Medicago truncatula: one gene and its partner. The protein of the gene in region 1 interacts with the protein of each later gene in a pairwise test. Links are inferred from orthologs where the notes say so. Each region holds a gene or a part of one and is shown on either strand. Other genes may lie near its edges. The genes, in order: transcription factor AS1 and protein ASYMMETRIC LEAVES 2.

What was found.
Region 2: the proteins of transcription factor AS1 (region 1) and protein ASYMMETRIC LEAVES 2 interact in a two-hybrid assay, tested with the Arabidopsis thaliana proteins (4 studies listed by BioGRID, with this or other methods). The link is inferred for Medicago truncatula from reciprocal best matches to the Arabidopsis thaliana genes AS1 and AS2.

What each region holds. Positions count from the first base shown.
Region 1 is NC_053048.1:28,629,980-28,646,396, reverse strand, and holds transcription factor AS1, read left to right. Parts: upstream 1-9,000; 5' UTR 9,001-9,256; intron 9,257-10,534; 5' UTR 10,535-10,604; coding exon 10,605-11,684; 3' UTR 11,685-12,000; downstream 12,001-16,417. Other genes in the region: glutathione S-transferase T3-like, read left to right, coding at 2,298-3,161; E3 ubiquitin-protein ligase PRT6, read left to right, coding at 15,417-15,488, 15,778-16,417.
Region 2 is NC_053049.1:15,626,991-15,642,923, reverse strand, and holds protein ASYMMETRIC LEAVES 2, read right to left. Parts: upstream 6,500-15,933; 5' UTR 6,393-6,499; coding exon 5,706-6,392; 3' UTR 5,685-5,705; intron 5,254-5,684; 3' UTR 4,913-5,253; downstream 1-4,912. UniProt on the Arabidopsis thaliana protein: Negative regulator of cell proliferation in the adaxial side of leaves. Regulates the formation of a symmetric lamina and the establishment of venation.

The DNA of each region.
Region 1 (16,417 bases):
ATTAACTTCCCAAACGAAAAGTTGACACCTCCAACTAAACCTCCATCTCCCTCTGCCCACATTGGAAATCCACATCTCTTGAATCGTTGCTTCTTGGAATGTTGCAATTGAAAATAATCTATGTAATTTCATCATAAAAGGTTCACCTCCTCTCCACGCCGTTTTCCAAAAACCCGTTGTAGCACCATTACCCACCTTCCTAATCACGTCCTCATAAAACCAATCTACCTCATTACCTTTAGCTAAGGACACCAAATCCTTCCACCACCTAGAAGCATTGGTCTGCCACACACCCACCCCTTCCTCCAAAAACTCGCCAACCTTAGAACCATATCTTTCCACAAGAATCTCCTTCCAAAGCGTATTACCCCCTTGCAATAACCGCCATTTCCACTTTGCAAGAAGACTCAAATTCACCAAAGAAACATCCCTAACACCAAGGCCACCCACCTCTTTCGGTGGACACACCACCTTCCAACTAACCCAACTAATCTTCCTCCCTCCCTCTAAACCACCCCAAAGGAATTCCCTTTGAATTCTAACCACCTTCTTCACGACATTAAACGACATTTTGAAAAAGATATCTTGAATGTTAGTAGAATTTTAAAAACTCTTCTGATATGATAAGACTAAAAAAAGATTTGTGTTTGGATACATGAATGTAAAAGTGAATTAAACTATAAATATGCATGTGAAAATCAATTTTAGAATCAAAAGTTACAAATCATAGCTTAAAGTAAAATCAATTTTGAGGACATAATCAATTCTACTCGACAATAATCAAACATGTCATAATTAATTTTACACCTCTAGAATCAATTTTGGTATTCTAGAAATGGAACTAAACATACATTGATTTCATTAGACATTTTCTCTTAAAAACTGGATAATTAACACACAAAAAAGAACACGAGGTTAAAAATGAAAACACAATAACATTTTATAAACTTAGATTAGATAATCATACTCGTATATTGGGAAACTTCACAAAATTTCAACTAAATGAAAACTAATTTTCTTAAGGATTTTGTTGGGTACAATTGTCTTTAAGGATTGAACCAAATGGATTTAGAAGTGTAATATTAGAATTGTTATGATTAAATCATTTTTTAGATAAATAAATAAAATTTAAATTTAAATCTTTTATTAAAAATTTGTTTGATATATAAAGTAGAGGCTATGAATTATACAAATTTTTTTAAAGAAGGCTATGAATTATGCCCCGGTGTAAATGTATTATTATTGTTGTTGAAAATATCAACGCAAGTATCTATAAATGATTGATTGTTCATTAAAACTTTAGATTTCTATAAAATATCAAAAAAAAAAAAAAATTATAATAAATTTTTGGATGCTGGGCTACGAGCCATCCCATCCTATAACTCAAATGGAACACAATTTAATTTTAGAGAAATGATATTTGAACAACTGATTTTTGACAACTTTTGTGATAACTTTCTCTCTCAAACTCGCATTCTCTTTTTACTTTCTCTTTATATTGTTTTGGTTTTAATGTCACTATCTAAATTTATTTGTAAATTTTAGTTGTCCAAAAAATTGTCCCAAAAAAGAGCTCTTCAAATAACATTCCTCTTAGACCATCTCCAATGGTCTATTTAATATTCCATTCAACAGCATTTTTGTCTCCAATGATGTGTTTAACAAGTGTTGAATGGGGGAATAGAAGAGAGAGAAGATGAATCCATTCGACTCCATTTAATCCTGCCACGTGGTGCTTCAAAATTGGTCAAAAACGGGCGCGTGCAACACACGTGCCGATAGGGCGCGTGAGCGGTCAGAGGTTCGGAGAGAGAAACGGTTTTTGGATAGATAAGGACACGTGGCGCGTTTTAATTGGTTGTCCAGATTCTTATCATTTTAATAATTGTACCTCAATTATTTTGTTGTAAATTAATTTTAAAAAAATAAAAAATACCAAAATTCATGATTTTTTTTCATCTATAAATAAAGACTTGGATCATTTGATTTGGACACAGAAAAAAAAAAAAACCAAGTTTTTCACTATCTTCATCTTATTATTATCTTTCTATTAGCAAACTAAGTGAAGTTTTAATCTTATTTTTTGTGAAATGGATCCCAATAATAACCATTTCAACACCCAAAATTTTTCTAATTATCCATATAACTACGAAAATCCCAACAATTATCCAAATCCAAATCAATTTTTCAACCAACGTCCTCAAAACATACATCAAAACGTACCTAATTTTGGTTTTCCACCAAATTTCAACAAGTCATCCTATGTTCCAAACTTTCATCCATATTATGGATCTATGATGAGATATCCATCTCAAACACCCCCGTTTAATGGTTATATGCCAATGGAGAATGAAAATTTTCCTAGTGTTGGTGCAACTCAATATCCTGAATTTTCAACACAAATAACTCCTGGTGGCATGGCAGTTGCTAATGAAGTCACTCCAGAAGATTCAACTCCTAAGAGCAAGAGAAGTAAGGAACCAGCATGGAACACTCAACAAAATTTGGTTCTAATTAGTGCATGGATTAAATATGGAACAAGCAGTGTTGTCGGGAGAAACCAGAGAGGAGAAACATATTGGGGTAAAATTGCTGAGTATTGCTCATTCGATTCTCCCCGCGATCTAGTTGCATGCCGAAACCGTTTTAATTATATGAGCAAAATAATAAATAAATGGATTGGTGCTTATGAAAGCGCTAAGCGTTTGCAAGGAAGCAGTTGGTCGGAAGATGATGTTTTGACAAAAGCGCAGGAATTATTTGCATGTGGGAAGAATATTCAATTTACTTTAAATGAAGAATGGCACGCTCTCCGTGATCAACCACGTTATGGTAGTCAGATGGGAGGAAATGTTGGGTCAAGAAGTAGTGGATCTAAGAGATCTCACGAGGACTCTGTAGGATCTAGTGCTCGTCCAATGGGTAGGGAGGCAGCTAAAAAAAAAGGTAAAAAGAAAAGTAAGGACGCTGCTGGCTTGGAGGAGGTGGAAAAGGAGTGGGTTCAATTCAAAGAAATCAAGGAGCAAGAGATTGAACATTTGAAAGAGTACACCAAGGTGCAACAGGAGAAAATGAAAATGTATCTAAAGTTAAGTTCTGAAGAGCATCTTGATGACCGGAAAAAAGAGCTGTTGGAAAACTTGGAGCGTGAGCTGTTTTGAAATATTTGTTTGTATTCGGTCAAAATTGTCAGTGTTGTCTAGCTCCCAATGTTTACTTTAATAATTGTCAGTGTTGTCTAGTCCTCAGTGATAGTCCCTAGTGTTGTCTAGTCCCTCGTGACTTATTTCACCTACTATTTGCTTTAATAATCATGCGCACTATGTGCCCATTATTTCACGTACTATTTGCTTTAATAATTATGCACACTATGTGGCCATTATTTCACCTACAATAACTTATTTCGAATCCGTCAATGTCCACCACACAATGTGCTTATATATAGGGACTCATATCTACTTCCAATTTCACAAATCTCATTCATATCTAATTCCAAAAAAACTATCAATGGACCCTTTTGATATCGAAGCCTACTTCCAAAAACGTGATGTTGAAGACACTTATATCGTCAACCGATTTATTCAGCGTCGAAAAAAACTAGAGGAAGGTAGTGCATCTCGTACTAGAAAATATTTCAATAGAGATCATGCAGCGGCAAACCAAAGACTAATTGACGACTACTTTGCCAATGAGCCTACATACGACGATGCAATGTTTCGTCGTCGGCACCGGATGCAAAAATATGTTTTCCTTCGAATCGTTGGAGACCTTTCAAGTAGTGATAACTACTTCACCCAACGAATTGATGCAGCCAATAAAGAAGGTATATCACCGTTAACAAAATGTACCACAACAATGCGAATGTTAGCATATGGTGTGGCAGCAGATGCGGTCGATGAATACATCAAAATAGGAAGTAGTACAACATTGGAATGCTTACTTAGATTCTGCAAAGGAATCATACGACTCTATGAGGAAGTGTATTTGCGAGCACCAACCCAAGATGACCTGCAAATAATACTACATGTTAGTGAAATGCGGGGGTTCCCAAGGATGATCGGCAGTATTGACTGCATGCACTGGGAGTGGAAAAATTTTCCTAAAGCATGGGAAGGTCAATTTACCAGGGGGGATAAGGGAACCACCACAGTTATTCTGGAAGCAGTTGCATCTCATGATCTATGGATCTGGCATGCCTTTTTTGGATGTCCGGGAACGTTGAACGATATAAACGTTCTAGACTGGTCACCAGTGTTTGATGATGTGGAACAGGGAAAGGCTCCGAGGGTGAATTACTTTGTGAATCAACGTCCCTATAATATGACATACTATCTAACTGATGGTATCTACCCTTCGTATCCAACTTTCGTCAAGTCAATCAGACTTCCTCAAAGTGAACCCGATAATTTATTTGCAAAACATCAAGAGGGATGTCGGAAAGACATCGAACGTGCTTTTGGAGTGTTTCAAGCTCGATTTAAAATCATCCGTGAACCAGCTCGCTTGTGGGACATAGCCGATTTGGGTATCATCATGAGGTCATGCATCATATTACATAATATGATTGTTGAGGATGAACAAGATACATATGCTCAACATTGGACCGATTTTGAGCAACCTGGGGGAAGTGGATCTAGTACATCGCAACCATACTTGACCGAGGTGTTACCAACTTTTGCAAATCATGTGCGTGCTAGATCCGAGTTGCGTGATCCAGATGTTCATCACGAATTGCAAGCAGATCTAGTGAAACACATATGGACAAAGTTTGGAATGTTTCGTGATTGAAGATGATTTGTATCGTACTAAATAAATTACTTGTGTGTTGTATGCTTAGTTTGTTGTATTGCATTTTAAGTTATTTGTGTGCCGCGTGCTTAGTTTGTTGTACTTGCATTTTAAATTAAGAAAATAAAAATAAATTATTTTACAAATTTTTTTTTTCAAAAATACTAAAAAATAAATAGTTAATTGTATTATTTTAATTTAATTATAATCGATAATTTTATGTAATTATAAAAACAAAAATTAAATAAGAATAAGAAATAAAAAGTGGTGGGGTAGAGTGTTGAATGAAAACCATTGGAGAGGGTAAAAGTTGAATGAGTGTTGAATAAGAGAGAGAAAATGATGTGGAGTGTTGGAAATTGAAAAAGTGGTGTTGAATGGTGTTGAATGGTAAAAACCATTAGGGATGGTCTTAATTTTAAGTAGACTCCCCAACAAAAAGTAGCAAAGCACATGTTACACTTTACAAATTTGGGCAACAGCTTACACCATAGTGTGGAGTTGAATCTCTATCAAGATGAATGTACTCACAAGACCTCACATTATATATTTATTTTTTTAAGGAACCTCACATTATATATTCAAAAGTCATATATATAGTCACATGCAACACACAAAGCTTTCATCATGTTGCCCTCCCCCCAAAGCTTGGGATACTTCCAAATAATAGGATACGAGAAGAGAAATAATATTTATACAATTATTTTATTACAGTTTTTATGATTACTTTCTCTTTTATACTTTATGTTTTTACTTTCTCTCTTTATTATTTTAGTTTCCGTGTTAATATCTACATTTTTTTTTTTTATAAATTTATGATTATCAGATATAGTTAAATATTTGATTTGGATGGTGGGGGTGTACTAGAGTCGTGAGTCTGAGTGTTTGAAAATAGTATATACATTGTAAAAATTTGCATATAGTGTTATTCTCTAGTTGTCATTGGACAATAGTCGTGGTTTTTCATCTGTTTTAGGAGTTTTCACATTATACTTTTGTGTTTCTATTATGTTCTTTTATTTTCTCTATGTCGGTTTTTTCCAAATACTGACATCAAAACTTTTGGAGAGCTTCTTTGGTCACTTGAGTAAAAGTACATGATGGTCGTCCTATGAGTGAATGCGCTTCAGTCTAAGGTTAAAATCGCTTAAGTTGATAAAGTTTTAAGGCTCCATGCCTAGGGTTTAAGTGGATGCCCCAAGGCTCTCTTCGTAAGGGTTGGACGCTAATGGATTGGACGACAGGTACGAGAGCCGAGAAGCTCACAACTAGGATATAATTGTGGGTCTAAGAATATAAAATTTTAGTATGTTCTAAGGTGGTAGCATTGTCTTATTATCCACATCGTAAAAGAAAGGTTGTATTGTGAAAGTGATTCAATAACAATTTCTGCTGTGAAGTTTAATCTATAGGAAATTGATGAAGATCCATTTTTGCCTCGTGGAATTTTCAAATCAATGACGTTTTGATGAGTAATGCTAACAACACTCTCTTTTGAACACCCTCTCTAATACTCACTCGTTTATTGGTTTAAATCATTGCGGGTCTACACTTTGAAAATTGAACCCACACAAAGTGGTGGGCCATACATTGATTTCATCCAATAAAAGAGTGAGTGCTAGAGAGAGTGTTGAAAAATGAGTGTTTCTAGCATTCCTCATGTTTTGATATAATCGGAAATACGCAAGGTGATGATTAGTATATAAGTGTTGATTGACATTGATGCAAAGTGTGTTATGATATTATGTTGATGGTTGAAGAGCTTCCTGTCAACATGGAAGTTGCTCCTTAAGTTTTCAACCTCATTTTCGATATGTGAAAATTCTTGAAGTGGTTTAACTACAAGCGAAGTGTACTCTCGCAATGAAGTCAATGTAATTTTTTTGGAGTGATTTAGCTTCAAGTAACTATAATCTCTACGTGGAGTATGATAGTTCTTTGAACTATGATTATCGACGACGATGGAAACACGTGTATCATTTTCAATCAAGGTAGAGATTGTTGGTGTTGGTTGAAAATATACATATTGAAGAAGTCACACATTGCTTAGTATTGTAAAGGAAGAAGAAGATCAAGACTAGTTCTTCATTACAAGATGCACCGGTCCGAAACTCTTTAAATTTGTATTTGACTTTTGCTTTTGTCTTATACTCTAGTGTTGTGAGATGTAGTTAAGTACTTGTTTTGGAGGGTGCACTTGTATTTGGGACGTGAGTGTTTATGCTCTAAAAATTTGTATATATATATGAGAATTAAGCAACTACTTAATGAATTTTTTTTTGAAGGAACTACTTAATGAAATTGTTATGTAACAGATATATATATAGATCTTTTGATTATCAATACATTCGATATTATTTAATTAATAATGAGATAAGATGTAAATACTATATTTGTAATTCTTTTCCTTTTTTTAGTGACATATTCATACGGTTGGTCCTAAAATAGCACACTAACGCTTACTCTCAAATTTCACGAGAGACGTAAGCAAATGGTGTACTCTAACTCTACGTGGTGTACTCTAAAGACTAAAGGATAACATGTTAGCATTTTAGAATTTAATGGATCAAATGTGGGAAAAAAATATAAACGACCGCGGCAACAATTTTATCAAAATATTATGATTTACTATATTCTTTTACCAAAAAAATTATTATTATTAAATTAGTTTCATCTAAAAAATTCAGCCCTCGTCTCATAAGTTTTTGGAATACAATATTGTAGTATTTTACATACAAGACTTTTAAATATGTCTAAAGTTTTCCTTAAAAAAAATGTCTAAAGTTTACATAGTATTCTTAGATTATAGAGAATGTTACCAAGTGTATATTTTTATAAATAGTAATAATTTTTTTTACTAAATCGTCTCAAATTATATGGTATTTTGATCATTTCATACAAATCAAGAAATCTAATTAATATTGTACGAGAGAGAAATTATAAGTCATTTTATAAAATTATCCTTCATTATACGAAAGATAAATGAAAGAATTGAAATAAGAGAAAACAATTGAAGGTACACTAAGAAAAAAAGCATTTAATGTTTCATTGTTATTGTAAATCGAGTTATAATTTAAGACAACTTTTTTCTCCAAACGACTTATAATTTATGTGGGCCATTTAGTCAACATTTCAATTATAACTATATATATTACTCTATTTCTACCACCTAATAAAAAAATTCTCAAAATTTAGTACAGGCACAAGCCTACATACTCTAATACATGGATCCATCCTGCCCATCTATCAATTGCTAGTTTCTATCTCTTGATCGATAACCCAACATATATTCAAGATATTATCATCATGAACGAATGATACACATTAAACTTTTGACTATAAAAAAAAAAAAAACTAATAAATAAATCATTTTACCTTCGACTAGCTTTTAGACAAAATCAATTTCACATAATCGGTTACCTCAAAATCAAGTTTTGCAATGCAAAACTAAATTATTTCCAAAAGGGTGATCAATTGGAAAAGAAGAGTATATGAAGAGATTTTGATCAATTTGGGAAATATGTTTGCAACTTCTTGTGTTCAAAAGCAAACAAATATTACACTAAAAAAGAGACTTGAAGAATTGTAATTCTTCTCTCTTTGTTAATGAGATCTTAACAATTTAGCCAATACTCATAAATACAAATTATAACATATTTTACATATTCAATATATAAATGATCACGAACCACATATCTTTTAGGATTCGAGACACAATCGTTGATAAAGCATGATGAGACATGAACTACACTCATGACCGTCTAAATTTTAGGTTTAGGTTTATTTCTCATCGTATACTCGATTGACCGGTAACATAACATTTAAATAGCTAAACAATGTTAATGACATATCTCTTATTAGACCTAACAAAATAGTTCAACCTATTACAATTAATTTAGAGACACAAACTACCCTCATTACTAATACCCTCATTACTAATTAGATTTTACATTTAGTTATATAGCTAAACGACCGAAGATAGATAATTCGATAAACTAATGAGAATAGTTGAAATCACAATTTGAATTAAAAATGTGATTTGTGTATAAACAAAGAGTGAAATATATAATGAATGGGTAACAGCATGTATGTATCTATAGACTGTAAGTGATCATGTGTGTCCCTTATCACTCGCGTGCCCTAACCTTTCTCTCTTTCTCGCATAATAGGCGCTGAATCTGACGTACCTCTCTTTGTATTATCTCTCTCTTTTCTCTTATTGTGGGGTCTCTCTCTACATGTCTTGTCTTTTCAAACTTTTCTCTCTCTCTCTGGTCCTTAACCTCTCTCTCTCTCTCTACTACTACTACACCATGATATTGATAAGGTAAAGTTCCTGCATTACACTGCACCTCGGTTTTCACTTCCTCTCTTTTTTCAAGAACACCCCATTTTTCAACTTCTTCTTCCTGTTTCATGGACCTGAATTTCTTAGGTTGTTATTAGACATACTCACACTGTGACTGAGGTACTTCTCTCCATTCTCTCCTCTCATTCTTCTCTTTTTAACCACTTTTCTTTTTTACTTTGCTTTCAACACAACAAAGGTTGTTATTTCTTTTTTCTAAATATATCATGATTTTTTTGTATATTTTTTGGTGCAAAGTTTCTTGTTCTTATGTTCTTCTTTTGTTCAACATGTCTTGTTTCTGAAATCATTGTCTTGTTATTTTGTTACATTTATATAAAGTTCATGTGAACTTATTTTCTTGGAAGCTAAACTCTTTTCAGCTTGAAGCTCATGTGTTAGTAGTATATATATGCTTTTATATTGTATACTTATTGTGTTTCATGTTTCAGTTTTTGTGTTTTTATTTTTATGTTACTTCAAATTGTTTGAGTTTTCCTGAATTTAGATATGTTAATTGATTTTGAACACATGTATTTTTTTTTAAAATTACCATAATCAAAGTATTAAAATTCAACCATTATATCTTTGTGTCTGTGTTTAATTGATGTGCTTCACACTCTCTGAATCCCTGTTTAGTTCTGTTTTTTGACTGATATGAGTGGTTAAGTGGTTATTAGTTATTACTTATGTGGATGCTAATCTAAAACTTCAATTATTCAACAAAAATATCTAACTAAAATTTCAATTTAAGAATTTGTCTTGAAATGCTGTTTAAAACACTGTGAGACTGTTCCTCAATTTTTTTGTTTTTGGCCTTTTCTACCTTTGGTGGGGTTTTCATTCATTGTTCTTGATTAGGATGTTACAACAGCTTTTAAAGCTCTTACAAAATTTTCTATTTAAAGAAATTATTACTATTTGCAATTGTAACTACTGTGTTTCCTATATTAGTGTAGAGGCCACAAATTTTGATTAAAATTTTCTATGTCTAGTCAAAATTGTGAAACAGAATTGATAATTACCAGAATTTATTTTAGATTATGTGATTTCAATTTGACATATTGACTTCATACATTAATCTGTGGTCAAATATTTTTGCATTTAATCACTGATAGAAAGAATTGATGTCATTACTAGTACTTGAACTGAGAAATTTTAATGCTTTGAAGTCAAAGGGTATTGATTGATCCTTGAGATTCTTCATAAATGTTTTGTATGCATTTTGTAGCATGTAGAATTATATCTGTTGTGTTATTTTGCTTAATAAATTGATGAAGTTTGTTGACATTTCTGATTGGATTAATTAATCTTCTTTTGTTTAATTGTGGACCTATGATTAGAAATTATAGAAACTTCACATTTCCACCTTTTGATTGATACTACTTTGTTTCACAGTGAATTGATCCCTTGAATTGTCATGAATTTTCCAGAGACATTATGAAGATTGCAAGTTTCAAGAAACCGGATGTCGGATATGAAAGATAGGCAGCGGTGGAGAGCAGAAGAGGATGCATTATTACGCGCTTATGTTAAACAGTATGGACCTAGAGAATGGAACCTCGTGTCTCAGCGCATGAACACGCCTCTTAACAGGGACGCAAAATCGTGTTTAGAAAGGTGGAAGAATTACCTCAAGCCAGGTATTAAGAAAGGATCTCTCACCGAAGAAGAACAGCGTCTAGTCATTAGCCTTCAAGCAACACACGGAAACAAATGGAAGAAAATTGCCGCGCAAGTTCCCGGTCGAACTGCTAAGAGGTTAGGGAAGTGGTGGGAAGTATTCAAAGAGAAACAACAAAGAGAAACAAAAGGTAGTATTAACAGAACTGTCGACCCGATTAACGATAGCAAGTACGAACACATACTCGAAAGTTTTGCTGAGAAACTAGTGAAAGAGAGACCATCTCCTTCATTTGTCATGGCTGCTTCCAATAGCTCTTATCTTCATACCGATGCACAAGCACCAACTCCGGGATTGCTTCCTTCATGGCTATCGAATTCAAATAATGCAGCACCTGTTAGGCCAAATTCACCATCAGTGACACTAAGCCTATCTCCCTCGACAGTAGCAGCGCCTCCTCCGTGGATGCAACCAGTACGAGGACCGGACAACGCTCCTCTTGTTCTTGGGAACGTAGCTCCACATGGCGCTGTTCTAAGTTACGGCGAAAGCATGGTAATGTCTGAATTGGTTGATTGCTGCAAGGAGTTGGAAGAAGTGCATCATGCATTGGCAGCGCACAAGAAAGAGGCGGCATGGAGGTTAAGCCGAGTGGAGCTGCAGTTGGAGTCAGAGAAAGCGAGTCGAAGGAGGGAGAAGATGGAGGAAATCGAAGCGAAGATAAAAGCTTTAAGGGAGGAACAAGCTGTTGCTTTGGATAGAATTGAAGGAGAATATAGGGAACAGTTAGCAGGGCTGAGAAGAGATGCTGAAACCAAAGAGCAGAAATTGACTGAACAATGGGCTGCGAAGCATTTACGCCTTACCAAGTTTCTAGAACAAGTAGGGTGTAGATCAAGGCATGCTGAATCAAATGGAAGATAGATAGAAAGAGAGACAGACATCACTTTCAGCATTTTGATCTAGTTAAGGTTTTGTGTGATTGAGTTTTATGCAGTTTTATGGTCCTTGTTAGTTTTTGTTCTTTGTTCCTATTTGATTAAAAAATGTTCTTATAGATGCATATTAATATCCTATCTTTTCATACAACTTGAGGACTTTGCATTTGCATTAGGGGTTTATCTAATGGTTTTTTTTTTATTTTTGGGTCACTTTTGTAATAATAAACTTTATGATGAGGAAGATGTGTACTGTTGTAGTACTGGTATATGGTTTTTATGCACTATATTTCATAATTGAAGAAGTGCACTTGTCAAATAAGTACACATTGTGTATGTGTGAGTAATTTTTTTGAACTGCATCGTATACCTTATGAGTGTTTGATAAGATCAATCAGCAAGACCTTATATTATATCCACCTTTTGCAAATTGAGAAAAAAATAAAAGAAACCTCTTAGCATAGTGTTCTACCAAAAATACCACCTCACTACATATTGAGTTATGACCAAATGAGATAGTTGGGTACACTGTTTATAAGTCATACTCAACTTGGTCGGAGGGAGAAAGACTGGAAGCAAAACATGATTATGGCACCATTGAAAACAATGGGGGAGAAATTTTATTTCTCACTGAAGCAATATTTGTGGTGAGAGGGGTATACTCAACTTGGTCAGCAACACTTTTTTTACCCCTCTCACCATAAATATGGCTTAATACAAGGTTTCTTTATTTTTATATAGGGATAATATGAATAGTCAAAGGGCAAGGTCTCGCTTTGTAAATTATCATCTTCTCAATATAAGTTTGTTCTGTCTAGGACTTTAGGTGTAAGATTGTTCATTAGAGTCTCATTCTTCCATCATATTTAGCTTTAACTCTCTTCGTCTCCCTTTCTAGGATGTGAGAGGAAAAAAACTTTATCATAGTCTCCTTCCCCCTTCATCTTCTTCCATTAGAGATTAATTTTAAGTGTCTAACAATTTCTTGTAATAAGCATTATGGTAATGTAAATGTAATAGCAAATATTGATCAATTAATCAAATAAACATTTGTATCATATTTGTCTCTTTACATTTTTTTTTTTGTCATTTTCAATTATGTCATATTAAGAATATATGACACCACTATTCTAAAATTATGGATGGATAAAACAAGTTTTCGGATTATATAATCCAAAAATTTCTATAAAAGAGTTTGAATTATATAACATGAGAAAAAGATATTTTAAAAAAGATATGTGAGAAGACCATATAAAAATAGTCTTCTTTTCGTCCTTATAGTTGTGTTGCACATCCTTTCAAAAAAGTTGTGTTGCACATGCGAGTTCACGTTAATTCCCAACATATTACTTACCGTAAAAAAAGTAGCATAATTACCATTTGTAGAGAGGACTCCCTTTTTGAAATAGTTTCCTGAATGCATGCAAAGTGATGTTTTTTTAATTTTTTAAATAGTTTAGCGGTTAGAAACTCACATTTTCTTAGTGCCTACATTGCAAAGTTATAAGGCGTGGTTCAAGATTTGTCGTTGGCTCGTGATAACGGATAGAGGTGGTTGAGCTCCATATGGATTCAACAATCATTGTTTATAACTTTATCAACTAATGTGGTGGTACTGTTGCTAGGTGGAGTCTTGTGCAGAGAATTAGGAGATTGCAATGAATTGCGAAGTGAAATTGTGTCATTCTTACTTTGAGTTGAATACTTGTGTTGATACTTTATCTTCTCTTAGGTATGATTTGATTCAGCCGATTCCTTGATTTTGTATGGGCATTTGACTATTTGCTTGGTGAACGACTATGATTCATGGTTTAGATGGTGAACGATTATGTGGATTCTCTAAGTTTTTGGTGGAGTTGTGGTGCCTACATTGCGAAGTTTTGTGGTGTGTGTTGCAAGGTTCGTCGTGGGTTCCTCCTAGAGAGTTCATGTTGGTGGAGCTCCATGTTAATTTAATTGTTGTTGTTTATAACTCGCTCGATCAATGTGCTTCTAGGAGGAGTCTTGTGCGAAGAACTAAGAGATCACCAATGAACTGGAAAGTGAAAATATGCCATTCTTAGCGTGGGTTAAATACTTGTGTGATGCCTTACATTTTCTTAGGTGTGATTCATGTGATCCTTTGATTTTGTACGATTGTGTTAGATTTTTTTCCTTCTGAAATCATTTATAAGTTTAAAACTAATTAGAGGGTGCAAAAGATAAACATAGAAAGAGATAAGAGATATACATAAATATTTATCCTGGTTTACCCCAAAATTCGGAATAACTTCCGGTCCCTTCACACAAGAAAGACTTTTTCACCATAATCAAATAAGATTATAATTACTTAGACACACAAACACAAGCCTAAGATTTTCTTCCTCACTTTGATAACTTTTATAATCAAAGTTTAAAAATAATTTGATTGATGTTTACACTTCAGACTCAAAGAGTGGTAAACTAAATTAAGATTAGAGTGATTTTTAAACACTTGAGAAATTCTAAGATTGAAAGTTTGTAAGAATTTTTAAAAGTATTTATGTGGGCTTGAAATTTGAACAGAGTTTTAGCACAATTTGAAAGCGTGTGATTCTCTATATTCTTCAAATGTTTAGGGTCATTTTATATAAGAATTGAATAGAGTCGTTGTTGAAGAGATTTGCCAGTGCATCACAAGTTTTCTTTACGTTTGAATCTTTGCCACAAAAGGATAATTTCGTTGAACAATACTCAGAATTTCTTTGTTTCTTTTAGAATGATTCACTACTTCCTCTTTGCCTTCTCTTTGTCTTGTAAGAGCTTTGGCCGTTTTTGTAACGTCGTTTTCATTTAAACCAACAAGGACAAACCCTCATCCCTACATATATTATGTTGGATTGATTAACTGAGTTAAGCTCACAGACAACATCAAACTTTGGAAAATTGCCCTTCTCACTTTTGATTTTGCTCATCCCCTTAATTTAGCGTAAGTTAACACACACACTGACACTTTTAAAATCAATTTAATCACTTTTTAAGACGGTTGTATCGATCATACAAGTGCCAACTTGAGTTAACTCGTATTGAAAAACGTCGAGTGTGAGTTAACTCACGTTGAATTAAACAAAATCAAAAGTGAGAAGATCAATTCTCCAAACTTTGTCATTGTGTAGTTTTTCTTTTTCCTAGCCCATAAGCCCATGTATTTAAAAAAAAAAAAAAAATACTAAAACATCCATGAAATAATAAATGATAATTGTATAACTTTTTGATAACTTTCTCTTTCATATTCATTCAGTCACATTTTTACCTTTCTCTATTGCTATGTTTTTTGTGCAAACACTTCATTATCTTTGTAAATTATGGTTTTCTCGTAAGTTATCATTGAAATCGATACTTTTCTTATAAGTTGTCATTGAAATCGATTTTCAAATAACATTACTCTATTGAATTTATAGTGTACGAGAATTGAGTGTAGTAGTTGAATAGCATCGTATAAAAATATATAAGAAGCATCATCATCACCATCTTAATCAATTTCATATTAACAATAGTGGTTTAGTCTCGTATTCGATTAACGCGATTCACACACAATTTGGGGATTTTTCGGAAATCCAATTAGGGTTTTCAATTTCTCGCTAAATTCTTCTTCACTTCACGGAATTGAAGCGAAGAATTCCATTCCTCAGAATCAAACCTGGGGAGTGAAGGTTCTGGTTTTCATCCTCGCTCCTTGTTTCGCTTTTTACGTTCTTTCATGGCTGAGAATATGGAAATCGATTCTCCCTCTGAATCTCAACCTCTCAGACCCCGAGATCGAATCATTCGGGTAATTTTTTCATTCTAAACCGTTTTTTTATTGAAAATTTATACTTTTCGTCACTTGATCACTGTATGATTATTCAATTTTGCACTTAATGATGTAAAATTAAGAAATGAGTAATGATTTGTTGGTTAATTTAGTGAAATTTACCCAATTTTGAATTGTTTAATTGTTTAGTGAAATTTGGTTCATTTATATTTTTTTTTTTTAGGTTTAGTGAAATTTATCCAATGTTGAATTTTTTATATTGAAATTTTAATGGATGTTTGATTTATGGTTTTGGTATGATTTTCAGAGGCTTGTACAGTATGGGGTTCCTGAAGAGCAGCTTACCCCATCTGGTTTGGTTGCTTTTGTGAAAGAGAAGAAGGAGGTGATTGATTATATAGTGTCTGTTGTATTGCCTGCTGATGCGGAACTGGCAGTATCTCAAGATTCGAAGATGGGTTTGAAGAAGAGGTTTCAAGAGAGTTTGGTGTGGTTGCAATGGTTGATGTTTGAGGATGACCCGGGAAATGCTTTGAGACGCCTTTCTAGTATGGTTGGTCAGGGAGGTGTTTGCGGGGCGGTTTGGGGACGTACTGATATTGCTTATAGGTGTAGGACTTGTGAACATGACCCGACTTGCGCTATCTGTGTTCCTTGTTTTCAGAATGGGGATCACACTGGGCATGATTACTCTGTCATTTACACGGGTGGTGGTTGTTGTGATTGTGGGGATGTGACTGCGTGGAAGCGAGAGGGGTTTTGTTCAATGCATAAGGGTGTGGAGCATGTGCAACCGCTTCCGGACGAAGTTGAAAACACTGTTTCTCCTGTGCTTCGTTCTCTTTTCAAATGTTGGGAAGTTAGACTAACGACTGCGAGTGATTCTGTTCCGAAAAGAAAGAAGGCTGCAAATGACCTAACTTTTGCTATGGCTGACATGCTTTTGG
Region 2 (15,933 bases), on another chromosome or scaffold:
TATGTTTGGTGTGCACATGATAACAAACAAGATATCATTATAATTAAATGGAAAAATTGCACTCATAATTAATTAAATATTGTAGAAATGGCATGTGATTAATTATAATAGAAAATACATGCTATCATTATTTTAAACACTGACAGTATTTTATAAATGGTAGAATATCAAGATAATAAATAAGGAACGATCTTTTAATCCATTAGGATAATTTCTAACCCAGCATATACTTAGAATAAAAATTACAAAGGAAAGTCGGGATAGGATAGGAAAATGGTTTATTTTATCCTATCCATTTGTTGTATCAAACATGAGATTTCAGCAGGATATGATTAATGTATCATATCCTGTCTCCTTATCCTGACCATCAAACGGGCCCTAAGGGTAAAAGGAAAGCTACTCCGAGCAACATGGACTCCAATATGGTTGAGGTCAATGAGACGGATATAAATATGCAACTGCACATAAATGTGATTATTGCATATGTTTTGTTGAGACAAATGAACATGTTTACCTAGTTTTGTTGAATTTCTATAATTGTTTTAAAGTTATGGTCAATAGACGGACTTTATCGAATTGTGTCCTAATAGTGTGATAACATTAGCTAATAGTGTGATAACATTAGGAATGTTTTGTAATTATGTGTATGTGATTAATGTATAATGAATTAAAGGTGGGTTGATTGTTTGTTGTGTTGGCATTATACATGTTAAATGTTGATGTTTGTATGCGGTGAGGGTGGGGTTAACTCTCAATGATATAGATTATAATTCTGATTTTGATTTAACATGAGGGTTTTGGTTAATTTGGGAATTGGGTTTAGATTTTAATTCTTTGATTTTGGATTGAAAGAGTGTAGGAACTATTGTAATAATGTTAGAATGTGTTCAGGTCGTAGACAGAAATTTATTACACTTCTGTAATCTGTTTTGGGGATTGAAATTGAGAAAATTGGGATTTTTGGGAAAAACCTGCATTCTGCCCGTACAAGATCTTCATCGCTCGCCTCCGCAAGTAGCTTGTCTCGCCTCGCGAGTGAGCCATCTTCATCTCTCACCTCGCGAGCAAGACCACTCGCCATAGCGAGTAAGTGAGTGAGAGATCATGATCTTCAAATTGTTGTTTTAAGATGTAAGTTGGATAGTTTTGAGTGCCTGGATGTTTTTAGAGAGGACTGAGACAATTTTCAGATTAAAAAGATGATTAGGGAGCTTAAAAATGAAGATTTAGTGAGAAAAATGTCAAAACTCCCGAGAGCACCATTTTTCTTGCTCGCCACGTACTCGCTATAGCGAGTAACTCATTTCTTGAGTTCGCCACAACGAGCAGATGCACTCGCGAGGCGAGTTGCTCAGTACCTGAAGCCGTTTCTATGTATTTGAATATTGTTGGTTGGATTTTGTGTAGGACAAATAGTTATGATTAATTGTGTTATTTTACCGGAGCTGTTGAATTAAGTATGATGAATTGTTGATTGCTGTTATGTATATTTATATTTAAATAAATTATACAAGTTGTTGAATTTCATTTTCAAAGGTTGTTGTATCATTAGTTGACTATGTTGAGGGTAAGTCATATTCATATGTATGCATTGTTCAGTAGCAGTTGTCGTCGTTCATGCTGTTGTTGTGTTGTAGTTGAGTTGTATGTTGATATACACAAGTGGAGTTCATTGCATAATCATAAACTGTTGAGGGCTCATGCCTTGGAACGCCTTGTCGTTCAATCGTTGAGGGCTTATGCCCTGTGAATGCTAGCTCATTCAAACCGTTGAGGGCTCATGCCCTGTGAATGCTTTAACCATTCAAACTGTTGAGGGCTCATGCCCTGGAATGCCTTGTCATTCAAACGCGTTAAAATGGTACCACATGCATGTGCATTGTCACATTTTGTTGTTGGGTCATAGTAGTGTTGTCGTGTCATTGCATAAGTCGTTGTTATTGGTTGAAATTGCCAAATGTTGTTGATCATGAAATATATAAGTATATTGAAGTATTGTTGTTATTTAGGATGTTAGATTCAATTGATGGATTATATATCTATTATTGTTGTTTGTGAATCTCACCCCTTCTGCTTGAAAATGTTGCCCATCGTATAAGTAACTTGCAGGTGATGAAGAGTAGTAGAAGTGGTGGCTTAAGTGTCTTAGGGCTCTGATATGTAACGGGATGGGAAATTGTTGTTATATTTTCATTCCTTATGTATCAATTTTGGAACATGTTGTTGGAGCCTTTATTGTTGTTGAACAAATTGTTGATGACTATTTATGTTGAGGCCTTTGTGCCAGAATTTATTGCTGGTTATTTAATGTTAAGTGATTGAAAAATATTCCGCTGCAAAGTATTGATTTATCTATCAAAGTTGATTTTAATAAATAGCATTTTATTCTATTTAAGAATTTTGAAATGTAGTGTGACATTCCCGTTTATTGTTGAACTCTGATTTATTTTATTTAATATTTAGATGTTGGGATAACGGGGTGTTACAAGACACACCCCTAGGTGGACGTAGAGTTGTTCACGGTGCGGGTTGGATCGATTTTGAGGCAAAAAGTCATCCAATTGAAAATAAAAATCACATGTGATACAATTCGGTTTGGATGACTATTTTAAAAAATTCGATCTAATCTGATTCACATATATACAGTTTAATTTAGATCGATTTTTGGATATCCAAAATGCAACATTTAATTCTTTTAACTAATATTAATATTACACATACACGATAAAATAATAAAATTCATTCAAAATCATCAAATACATTATAATATTAACATTACAAAATGTAAATGTTCGAAAGATATGAAGTGGTAATAGTATAGATGAAATTAATGCAAAATATAAGATTACATACCAACAAATAATATATTAATGGAATATATAATACTAATAAAAGAATAAATAGGTATTAAAATTTACTTTTGCGGTTTGTTCGGTTTGGAAAATGTGATCCAAAATTTGATCCGATATGAGCGGTTTTTACAAAACACTATTCAAACACATTAAAAAATATTCATTTTTTGTGGTTTTAGATATTTTTGTATCGACTTACGTTTTATTTTGGATCGGTCTGTATTTTGGACGGTTAGGTCAATACCTTAGGAAACTCCTTATAATTGTTTAAATGATGATCGATCTATGACGTTGTCTTTTGTCAAGTAACCTAATTGCTAGAAATTCACCTTTTAAAGAGGAATAAATGAAGAGTTCCGGTTTGAACCCAAACCTCTACATATATAATAAAATATTTCTATCAATTGAGATAAAATCAGAGGCCATGACGTTGTTGCTACCTTATAATTGTTTTTATCACCATGTTTAATTTTTTTTTATTACTGATAAACCTTTTCAAAGATATATTTATCTACATCTACTATATATACACACAAATAATTTCAAACAAATACAAATATACAAACAATGTGTATTTTCACGTGCATTCCACCTGTCACAATTCTAGCTAAAAAATTCCAACTCTTAGCTTAAAATCCGATATCTTTTATTTTTTAATTTGAACCAAGTATCTTTCTATTAAATGTACCAAACGTACAAAAATTAGAGTTGAGATTGAGATTAATTATCGATCTGCAAGTAGCAACAACGTCGAGCTGTCACATCTCATAGACATTATAAGTTAATTAAACTTCCTTTCCTTTTTGGTTTCTCAATTGAAGTGGTTGTAACGGACGAAAGAAAAGGAAAAAAGAAAGAGGGGACAAACAGCATATAATTAAGGAAGTAATAAAGATGAAAGGTGAAAGAAATGCAGTAGGTATGGATTCTCTTATTGCTATATTCTTTTATTCTTTTATTCTTCATTTAATTTATAGCATTTCAAAACTTATAAAAGCATGAATAAATATAGAAAAGCGTGCATGCAAAACCAAACTTCAAGATAACAAAAAAAAAAAAAAAAAAGTGATTGATAGAAACAAGGAATAGTCAAGAAGAGGGATAGTAAAAGAATTGGTCAAGTCATAGTCACTGAATTCATTTCATACCCAATGGAATTAACAAAGGGGTTCAGATAGGAAGAAACAGGTCCATAGTGTTGGCACTGTCTAATAAATGCGAATGACATTGAGAATTAAACATAATGTAGCAATGTGTATGAGTAGTTTTACTCAGTAGCAACTTGAACCAATTGCTATAAATGCACCTCTGTTGTTTGGCCAGAGTTTAATCATCATTTTTTTCATATGCTTCTATTAGTTCAACCGTGTAATTGTGTACTAGAAAAAGGTATATAATCATATACAAGGGAAAAAAGACATAATATATAAGCATAGTTTTAAATTGCAGTTGTAGGTGTATTTATTATGCTTAAATCGTATATTGTTATAAAATGTGGTTCATAGCATCGCAATTGATCTTGTGATATTTATGCATAGGTTTGTTGAGTATAACTCATTGGTATGGTTGAGAAATAATGTTTTATAGTGTAAAACAAAAGAAACAATATAAGTTAGAATAAAACACTCATACAAGGTAAAGGATGCCGCCATCAGTCATGATAGCGCGGAAAGTAAAGGTTGTGAGACACGCCTTTAACCACGGGAAAGAAGTTGTTATTTTAACATGATCAATATGGCTATAAATTTATACTCGTCACTAAATTAGCGTCTCTAACACATAGGGATGAAATCAAACAAAATTCACATTTTTTTCGTCAACTTATATCTAGTATAAATTAAAGTTTATCTTCTGTACAACGATAATAGAAATATTTGTTATACACGACAAATATCCAAACAGATGTGTGTGTATATATATATAAATTTTTAAATTGCAATACAAATATCTAAATGATGGAAAGTAATTTAGGGCATGTAAATCTATATTAACTCTCCGAGAGCATAAAAATTAAATTCTAAAAGTGACAGTTCTCATGTAGTGCTTATTAACACCATATGTTTGACCAAAAATGTACCATCGTAATTGATTAAAAGAAGATAATATACTGTTTGCTAATAGTGATAATCTTTCCATGGAGGAAGAGGAACCCTTCACTTATTTCTTCTCTCTGTAGAGATAGTAAAATCACAATAGTAAAATATTGGTCAGCTACTTCATAACTTCATTTAGACGTCATATATATATTTTTTCTGTCTACAATTTTGTAATCATATAAAACAAAAAATAAAAATAAAAACCGATTCGAGCTTTGACTGATGAACAAATTTGTCTTTGAGTGTCCATCAAAAATGAAGAATGAAGGTTGAAATCTTCTCTCCAGCTAGTAATGTCAAAACTCCTTGAAAAAGAGAAAGAAATATATATTATAAATAAAATTCTTGATTATATATACATATACACACAACACAAATATATATAGTTGAATTAAAATATTTTAAATATTCATAGTTTCATTCATATACTAAACTCATTCACTATAATTTAAAGGATTTAACTATCTATTTTCTTCTTCAAAAAAAATAAACTGTCTATTTTATAGTTTTAGGCATAACAAATTATAATAGAATATTTTCTAAATTAATTAGTTTAGGTGCAGTATAGTATTACATGAGGAATGGCATACAATTAAAGCATTGAAGAGTCTCTTCCAATGTTATGATTGCATATTTCATATGCAGTTATGTGATTCAGTGATGATAGGTGACAGAACAAAATTAAATAAAAAGAGCATTAATTTATAAAGTAAAAATAAAAAGCATTAATTATTACCTATAGCATTAGAAACCCTAGCTAGGAGCGGTTAACAGTACGGCGGTCGTCACCACCACCACCAGCAGCACTATGATGTTGAAGTTGATTGATCTGTCCTAAGCTAGCAGATATATTCATAGCCAAGAGACTAGCATCATAGTTGCTCCCAATTCCACCATCAAAATTTCTAACCAAATTATGTTGTTGATGTTGATCCCTTGGAAAAAACTGATGATGTTGATGATAACGATGGTCACGGCCGTTACTGTTATTACCACCACCAGCAGTATTTTGCGTGTGGTGGTAATTACCTGCAGCGGCCGTGACAGACTCACCTGTCATGCCGGTTATGAGTCCATGACCGGCAGTAGCTGCCGCTGCGATACTCAAGTTTTGAAAACGAGAAAGTTCGGATTTAGCACAATAAAGATCCATCTGAAGCTGACGAAGTTGGTGTTGAAGGAGAGAAATTACACCAACACAACCATAAACAGGATCTCGAAGTCGCATCTCAGCTTCATAAGCAAGTGAATTCACAGCATCTTCACGTTGGTGAGGGTGTAAATCATTGAGAAGCTTTGTAACATTGCTTGCTCCAAAAATTCTATGAACATTTGCAAATTTTTGTGGCTGATCAGGTGGAAAATAAGGTGCAAATGCACATTCTGGTTGGCATTTTCGGCGTAGAAACTTGCATGCTGCACATGGTGAATTTGAGGATGCCATGGTAGTTTGTTTTTGTCACACAAACAAACACTTGTTTTTCTCCTTCTCTTGTTCCTCTTTTTTCTGTCTCTCTCTCTTTCACACTACCATTAATTTCTGTGATGCATTCACCATGTTTTTGTTTGTTATTACTATGTTGTAAAATAATAAAATAATGGTAATAAAAAATTATAAAAGGAAATAAGAACTGATCCATTAATGCGTGTTATATGGCTAATTCCATTATTTTACGGTCTTTTTGGTAAATCTATTGTTTTAAATCACACACACTCTTTTCCTTTCTTTAAATTATTATTATTTTCTTTTGCAATTTATGACTAAAAAAACTATGTCGAAATTTGCTTACCCTTCACCACCACACTTTGTGCAGGTGTTTTTTTTAATATATATTTAGCTAGCTTATATCATCGACACTAAAATATAAACACCCTTCTTTAAAAGTTCTTGAGAAAATAAAAAATCTCTACTAAGGGGAAGAATAACCACAAAAGAAGTAAAAAAGACAAAAATAACTAGCAAGAATGTGGTTGTCACTTCATTATTAAATCCATATCTCAACAAAATATTTATTATTCAGCATGTAATTTTTTATAGAAGAAAATTGCAAATCCTCCCATACAATTTTTTCAGACAAAATTGTAAACTTACTCTCTCTCAACTCACACACAATTGCAATTTATACAAGGACTAAATTCCAAACCTGTCAATTACAATTTTTGTATTGAAAAATTGTAAACCATCTCATCATGACACACAAGTTTCCAATACATCAAGAGACAAGAGACGTTGTGGCGAAGAAAACTCAAAATTAGATCTCTATTTATACTAACTCTCAGTTTATTTGCCTACTACTCGTCGTTGAACTTGAATGAATATCCACTTTAACCTAACACTTTTGTCTTTGATAGGAACACAAAAAAAAAAAAAAGAGCTAGAGGAAATTTAGGGTATCTTTAAAAAGCATTTTTTTTGTTCTTCATAAGAATCGAACTCACTTTCTCACGAACGATTCATCCTTGCTGAAGTTCATTTACTATATCTCAATTGTTTGGTTATGTTAATTTTTAGTATGTTAACCGAGCATGTAATTTTTTCGCCGTGTAACAGTACGGAGAATCATATAATATATGATTTGAAACCTATAGACTTCCTTCGGATTACTAGAAAAATTAGAAAAATTTAAAATAACGACAAAAGTTCAAGAGACGAAAAAGGATAAATTGTGTCTTTAAATTTAGTGACTAATTTAATTTTTTGGTTTCTAATTTTTTTCGTTATTTCAAATCTTTGGTAGTGTATATATAATTCTCAGACTCCTTATCTCATTAAAATAACAATACAAATAAATAAAAATGATGATCATTGATTCATTTGGGAGATCCAAGAGAGAAAAAAGAGCTAGCAATGGGATTGAAGAAAGTATGGAAGTTGACAAAAACAATGAATAAATATGCATATATAACTAATTTTCAAAGATTCAGTTACAACTGGAATTTCATATCCTCGGACAAAATCCTTGGTCCTTGTGTTTCTGGCTGAGAATTTGAAGACAAAAAACAATGGTGAAAGTCATGTATATGAGAAAGCCAGCGTTGTCTAAGGAAAATAATGAAGTTGATTAATGTTTGATGCCAGAAGACACTTCCTCGTGTGAGAGGCAAAAGTTATGGTGCATAAGGATTTTCCTTATGCACCGTGCATAAACACTTCACAACCATCAAATCTAGTGTACACGTTTAATAATCCAAGGCTTCTCAAACTACACCAAATCAAACTTCATTTGCTTCAAATATTTCTCTCACTAAAATATAAAACTCTCCCTCTCTCTCTACAATTTTCAACATTCTGGAAAAGAAAACGAAGAACTCAGATGAGTCTTCATCTCTTCCGGCCACATATGATGATTCTAACGCGCGGTGGTTGCTGGCCAGAGGCGGCGGCGGCGCCGTGCCGGAGAACCAAACTCACCCTTTTTAAAAACTAAAGCCATTTTCCAACATCCATTTTCGTTTTAAAGCCAAATCCGAACTCGGATCGTGCAAAAATACAACGAGAAGGAGTAGATCTAAAGATTAAAACACAAACAAAATTTTCATTGCTTCACTTGTTGTTGAGCCGGTTCGCTCCTCTTCCTCCCTCGTGTTTTCTTCTTCGATCCAGTGGCGTTGTGTTGATTGCTATATGTTACTGTTTCGTAACTGTTTGTGTTCACGGTTTCATATCTGAAGTTGTTACTATATTCGAAATCTTTGTGATGTTGGAGGGGTTTATAGCTGAGAAACTACTGGAAACCACTAAGTACATCTAAAGGTTTTGGAGAACAACTCACAGAAACCATTTCTTTCCTCCTCCTCCAATTGTGTCAGTCCAAAACTGAATGATGGCAATGACTCTAGGTCCTTAGTTTTTTTAACCTGCTGGAAACCATTAAATACATCTAACGGTTTTGGATTACAACTCACATAAACCATTTTCACAGCAAAATGGTTTTAGCATAATTTTATACAAAACATAATATAATAAGAACATTTGTGACTATTATTGAACCAAATCAACATTCTGAAATCATCATTATTGAACTAAAATGATGATTTCCGCGGTTGTAGTGTTGTTTCGTTTGGTTTCGCTTGGGGGTGTATGAAACAATTATGTTGGGCTATCGGTTAATGAGTTGGGATTTATGCACGGTGCATAAGGATTTCCTTATGCCCCATAACCGCTCCCCGTGTGAAAATGTAAGCCGACTTGATATTGTGTACGTTACAAGTGTGTGCATATAATACTTCTTTTTTTGCAATTGTGAGGTTTCGAATTTTGTGCATATAATATAATAAATAATTTAGAGTACAAATATAAATTTTACAGGATATTATTTCATTTTGTTAAATATGGCTACGTGTTTTTCTTTGAGTGCAAATAACATCTCCAATCGTCCCTACGTAAGAAATAAGGCAAATTCTACGAAATCCATTTGGGGTTGGTCTAGTGGTTGGTTTGGGATCTTGGATTTTGCTCCTCCAGAGGTCTCAGGTTCGATTCCCTCTGGTGCCAATTTCGGTGGGCTAAGTCCATACAGAGCTTGCTCTGGCTTTAAACGGGGCCCCCGCAAGTGGGCGGTGTAATTGGTCCCCTCGAATTAGTCGATTCTTGGATCGGATGCCGAGTTTAAAAAAAAAAAAAAAGCAAATTTTACGGCACACTCAAAAATTCGAGTGTACCGGTACACCATATCATCAAATTAATATTGAAACGAGTTATTGTTATAGTTAAATGAAAAAATTCGATAAAAACATAATAGAATATAAAACTCGATAAAAACATGATATGATATAGATATGATAAACATTTATCATATCATGTGTTTAATACATGCATGATAAAAAATAGAATATGATAGTTAAATGACAAAATTAGCCAAGTAATCGATTACATATTTTAAATAGTTTAAATGACAAGCCCATGTTACACAAAGAAAAAATTACCCATGTAATCAATTGCATATTTTAAATACTAATCAGTGTGTCACGTGTCACCTTTATTTTAAGAGTTATGATACATAGATACTCTTAGATGGCAATACATCCCTGGACATCCACATAAAAATCTGACATGTGGTCACGTGGACCCTGCACAAGCACATTTTCTCTTTCCTCTCCTCTTCTCTCTTCCTAGAATATAGGATGTACAAAAGTGTATGGAAATAAAGGGTGTCTATGTAACATTTTCCTTATTTTAAAAAATAAAATAAAAAACAAAAAATTCATATATAAGATAAAGAAGAAAACCACTTGTCACATTGTGGTTATCCAATGTTACGTGACATTGACACCACAATGTCATTGATAACTGGAAAATAAGTTGGTTATCACATTGCACTTAGCCCCCATATTGGACAAGTATTTGAGTGATTGCATTGACTTAAGTAATAGTTTAATCAGTGTCTATTTTAGGATTTTATAGTTTTAAGTATTTTTAGTACTTTGGAGAGGCCAGGTTATGGTTAGGGTTAACACTTTAGAGATCACATTCCATCTCATCTTCTACCATAGATGAGCATGGTGGCTAGATTCTAAAGTTCTTAGAGTAGATTACTTGGTGACGTTTTGACTCACCTTATTCCTTCAAAGAGTGTAATCTTGTGACAACTCTATCTATTCTATTAATTTAGTTTTCTATGCTTTCATTTATCTTCATCTTCATTTCCATTTCCATAGTTCATCTCACCATGAGCTAAACCCCTTTGAGTGATTTAGACATGGTGAAGTTATGATTTATTAATTTACTTGCGATATATAAAGTTGTAGCGTCATGCGATTTATTAATTTACTTGCGATATATAAGTGATTCCTGACAACTTTTACTTCTAATGATATAACTTGCTTTCTTAAAAAAAAAATGATATAACTCGCTTACCTTAACAAAGTAAGGAGTGGAAAATGTTTATTCGATATTATTTTGCCCTTGAGCACCATTGAGTGAAAGGGAGTGGAATCTTGAATGTAAAACTGACACTATAGGAAGTTATATCTCTGTGAATCTCAGTTGGCTTAAGAGGTTAACAAATAGCCATAGTGTTGAGAATCACCATATGCATACCACGCTATAGCTTAGTATTACATTCACTATTTGTCATATGACAAAGGATTTGTATATCCGCACCTCATGGTGAAATGGCAGGATCCTAAACCAAACCAACTGCACGTGTTAATTATTGTGTCTGCGCAGCGATTGGAGACAGTTCCTTTATCTGGTGATAGGGTAAAAGGGTGATGGTCCGCCCTTAAATAAGGTGACTTCTTGTAGCTTAACACAATGGTTCCTATAGACCATTTGGTTCGCCATAAAGCTGGTTATGAAAGATATAACTCTATGGATCACAAAGTTGCAAGAAGCTAATAAACGGATGTAGCCTTGTGAGACATAGTAGCCATATCAGGATATAGTGTTGTGTATCTTAGAGACTAAAGATGCTTCGAACCGGCTATAGCTCTGAGCGACACAGACAGCTATACCTTATTTATAGCTTTGTAAATCGGAGTAATGTTTTATCATGATTGAACCTTGTATTAAGCCACACCATCTATTTTGAGATTTTCTAAAGACTTTAACTACTTTGCCAAACTTAACTTTTTACTTTTACTGTGTGACAAATGTTTTATTTTATTTTTTTCCAAATAAGTTTTCTGCTGAATAGCTATTTGAAGTTATAGCTCCAGAGTCCTTGTGGGACCGATATCCTTTTATACCATAACTTGGACATTCTAGTGTTTTGGGAGACACTAGTTCACCAACTGTTGTCTTGTCTTAAACCATGGGAGAACCTTGCTTAAATGGTTTAACAAATTCTCAGTTCAAGACATGCTTGGTTTTGGTGTTTTATCCACGATGAAAAGACAAATTAACATATGAGAAAAATATAACATTTAAAGGAAAATGGAATTACGGGAAAAAATGATAAAAAAATTAGGGGTGGTGGCTCTATCTAATAGATAGATTTTTTCTCTCGACTCAAAATACAATGTAAAACATTTTCAATTAGGAGTTTACATTTTGTTGATATCCCTTTCCTCCTAATGGCGGCCTTTTCTTAGGGGTGGATCCATCTAATAGGTAACTCTCCCTGATCGTAATGACATACTAGGTACACCTAAGTCATCGCAATTATAATTGTATTTCTCAAAATACTGTTCAAAATCATGATCGGTAAAATATCAAACTTGTGTCAAATACATATAGTCAAATGCCAATTTTTTTTATCATTTATTTTATAAATCATAAACAATCCAAATAAAATATTTTGTAATATTGATGACCTTACCAATGAGGAGAAATGTTCAAGGTTGTATTTCCCCACTTCAATAAAATACTTTAACATATAAAATTATCAAAATATCAATAATAACAGTATGTAAAATATGTGATAAAGATTGTCATCTACTCATACTTATGAGACTCAACTAACTGTGCACTCCAACCACTCCTAGAGAAATATTTGAAGCATCCGACGTCATATTTGAGCATTATAGAACTTTAGTAACAATAGATAAGTATGAAATCCTCTGATATATACTCTAAACCATCCGACGTCATATTTCACAAAAAGGATATACTTCACCAAAGCACAAACCCTAACCCAAAAATCCGACCAAATTTCACTTGTACTAAGAAAGAGCTTTGCTTGGATGTATAATTTTTAGGCTTAATTACACTTTTGGTCCTACCATTTTGACCAACTCATGAAAATGGTCCTATCTTTTTTAAATCGAACAAAATCGTCCTTAAACTATATGTTTTTTTTGCAGTTCTAGTCATATCTCCCTATTTCCAACTCCAGAAACGCACAGAAATGACAATTTTAGTCCAACCACCTCAACCATGAAATAAACAAAGAATAAAACATGTGGGTACAAGGAATCTACTTTATTCAGCATACTAACCTAATTTTTTAGACATGTTACATACCTGAAACATGTCTTAGAAATTAGGATTTTTCTTGGTTTGTGTGTTGAACAAAGTAGATTCTTTGTACCCACATGATTTATTACTTGTTTATTTCATGGTTGGTTGGACTAAAACTGTCATTTATGGAGTTGGAAATAGGGAGATAGGACTAAAACTGCAAAAAACATATAGTTTAGGGACGATTTTGTTCGATTTAAAAGAGGTAGGACCAATTTCGTGAGTTGGTCAAAATGCAAGGACCAAAAGTGTAATTAAGCCTAATTTTTAGTATGAGTGTTCGATTTGTGATTGAAATTGGTTGATTTACGAAAAGAAGGTTAAATGAAGAAGGGGAAAGGTAGGTGGAACAGAGAGAGGTAGGGGTGGGCAAAATTAACCAATAACCGAATCGAATCAGTTAATCGAACCGAACTATATCAAAATTAACTGAACCATTTCATAAATTTTTGAACTGAACCATTATTTTCTTAATAGTTAATTAACCAAACCGAACCATTAATAACCACAGTTATCCAAACCAAACCAAACCAAACCATAACCATATAACACAATTACGGTTCTGTATTTTTGCCTTGGTTTCTGTTTGAGTCTTCTTTTAATTTGTTCTAGTCTGGTTTTCTATGTTGTTCATGTGATTCCAATGCTGTTTGAGTTGTTTCTCGTGTCTAGTGTGCTAGTTTGGTTCATGTTTGATTGATTATGTTCCACCGAGATTCCGTTTTTCTGGTTTGACCATGCTGGTTCTAGGTTCGCCTATTGCACTGCTTTCAAGTGATTCTTTGGTGTTGTTTGACTGCACCGCGCACCACAGTTGTATCCAGAGATCTCAACTGCTAGTTTATCATTTCTGTTTGGTTCAAAGCTGTGATGCCAGCAACACTACAAATTTCTATTTTGTTATGATTTCTGCTGCTATAAACATTGACTCAATATCTTTATATTCAGGGGGAATGATAGAATATAAGAAAAATCTATATTAGCATGAACTTGTGTTATCTCATAGGATTAATTTCATATTTTAGAACATCTCTTATGACTTTGGTTCGGTTCGGTTAATGACCAAGCAAACGGTTGACCGAACCATAACTTTGGTTCAGTTCGGTTAGTTTCAAACCTTAAATGGTTCGGTTCAGTTATTCCGAACCATTTTAACACTTCGGTTCGGTTAATATGGTTTACCGAACCATGCCCACCGCTAGAGAGAGGTTACAGGGAAAGAAAAGAATGAGAGAAGTGTTGTAGTGATTGTGTTATGTTTAATTATATAATATTGTTTCTTTTACTTTTTTTTAATTAATAAAACGGTGTGTTTCACTTTTCCCTCCTTAGGGTCCGTTTGGTTCAAAGAAGGGGAAGGGAGAGAGTTTAATGGAGGGGAGGAGAAGGGAGGGATGGGGAGTGAAGAGATTTTAATTAAATATGTATTTGGTTTAGAAGATGGGAGGGGATGGAATAGAAGGTATTTTAATTAAATATGTGTTTGGTTCATAAGGGATGGAAAGGATTTTAAACATAATTTACATTTTTATTCTTAAAATTTTATAACATTCATGTTTTAAATAATTGCATATAATCATGGTACAACACTTCAACACAGATCAAACTCTATCGATAACAATTTCCGATCTTAATAATCCATCTAATACCATAAAATATTTATAAAATTAAATTTTACAAAATATATAACTCATATACTACTATTATATATTAATATTATAAAATAAAATAAGTTAACAAAAGAAAGGATAAAACAAGAATTTGATGTGAAAAAATTAAGCAAAATGATGTTTTTTTTTTTTAACATAAGACATTTGACGTGAAAAAAAATTAATACTTTTTAAAAAAAAAAAAAAAAGAATTGATGTTTTTGTTAACCAAAGAAAAAAGTTTAATGTCAAGGAAAAAAATGTTTTGACTAAATCAAAATGATGTTATGCAAAGAAACTTTTTTAAGGTTAAACAAAAAAAGATTTGATGTTAAAGGAAAAAAATGATGTTAAACACATAATAATAGTATTAATCTTAAAAATAATAAGTTGTTAAGGTAAAAGTATAAATATGTTTTTCATGTTTAAAAAGGATAATTTAGGATTTTGACAAAAAAATAAATTGAGGATAATTTTGTCAATGGGATATATTACTTTTTAGACACTCCTCTCATTTGAAAAACTCCAATTTAAGGGCAAGCAAAAAATATTCCATTTCCTGTCCTCCCTTCCATTTCCATCCCCTCTTTTTTTTTTTTTTTGAAAAATTGAACCAAACAAATTTAATTAGAAGTATTCCATCCCCCCTCCTTCCATCCCCTTCAAAAATCTCCAACCAAACGGACCCTTAAGAAAATTCATCCTCGAATTTTATTTAAATCATAAACACTACTAACCTTGATTTTCAAATAAGTGGGGGTTTTTCCACGCATTACTTCTTTAGATTCTCAAGTAGTTTCTTCACCGGATAGACCTTTCCAAAGAACCTTCACTAAAACAATATCTTTTGAGTGTAACATCTCACTTCCTTATCTACAATAGCAACCAGATGTTCAGTGGATGACAAACTCTCATCCAATTGCACATCTTCGTGACTAATTATATGAGAAGGGTCATAAAGGTATTTTCAAAGCATAGAAATATGAAAGACCAGATGAATTCCTGAGATATCCGGTGGAAGTGCTAATCGATAAGCTACATGTCTGACTCTCTCCAAAAGCTCAAACAACCCAATGAACCTTGGACTTAGCTTTCCTCTTTCTCCAAACCACAAAACACCCTTCATTGTTGAAACATGTAAGAATACATATTCGCCCTTAGTGAACTCTATGGGACGACGCCTCTTGTCAGAATAAGATCTTTGCCTACTCTAAATAGGCTCTAAACGAACTCAGATCCACTTAACTTTATCAATGGAATCTTGAAGTAACTATAGACCCACTACCTTAGCTTCTCCAACTTCAAACCATCCTATAGAAGACCTACATCGCCTACCATAAAATGCCTCAACAGGCACGATTTGAATACTTGATTGGTAACTGTTGTTATATGCAACTTCCATCATAGGCAAATATCAATCCCAACTTACTTCA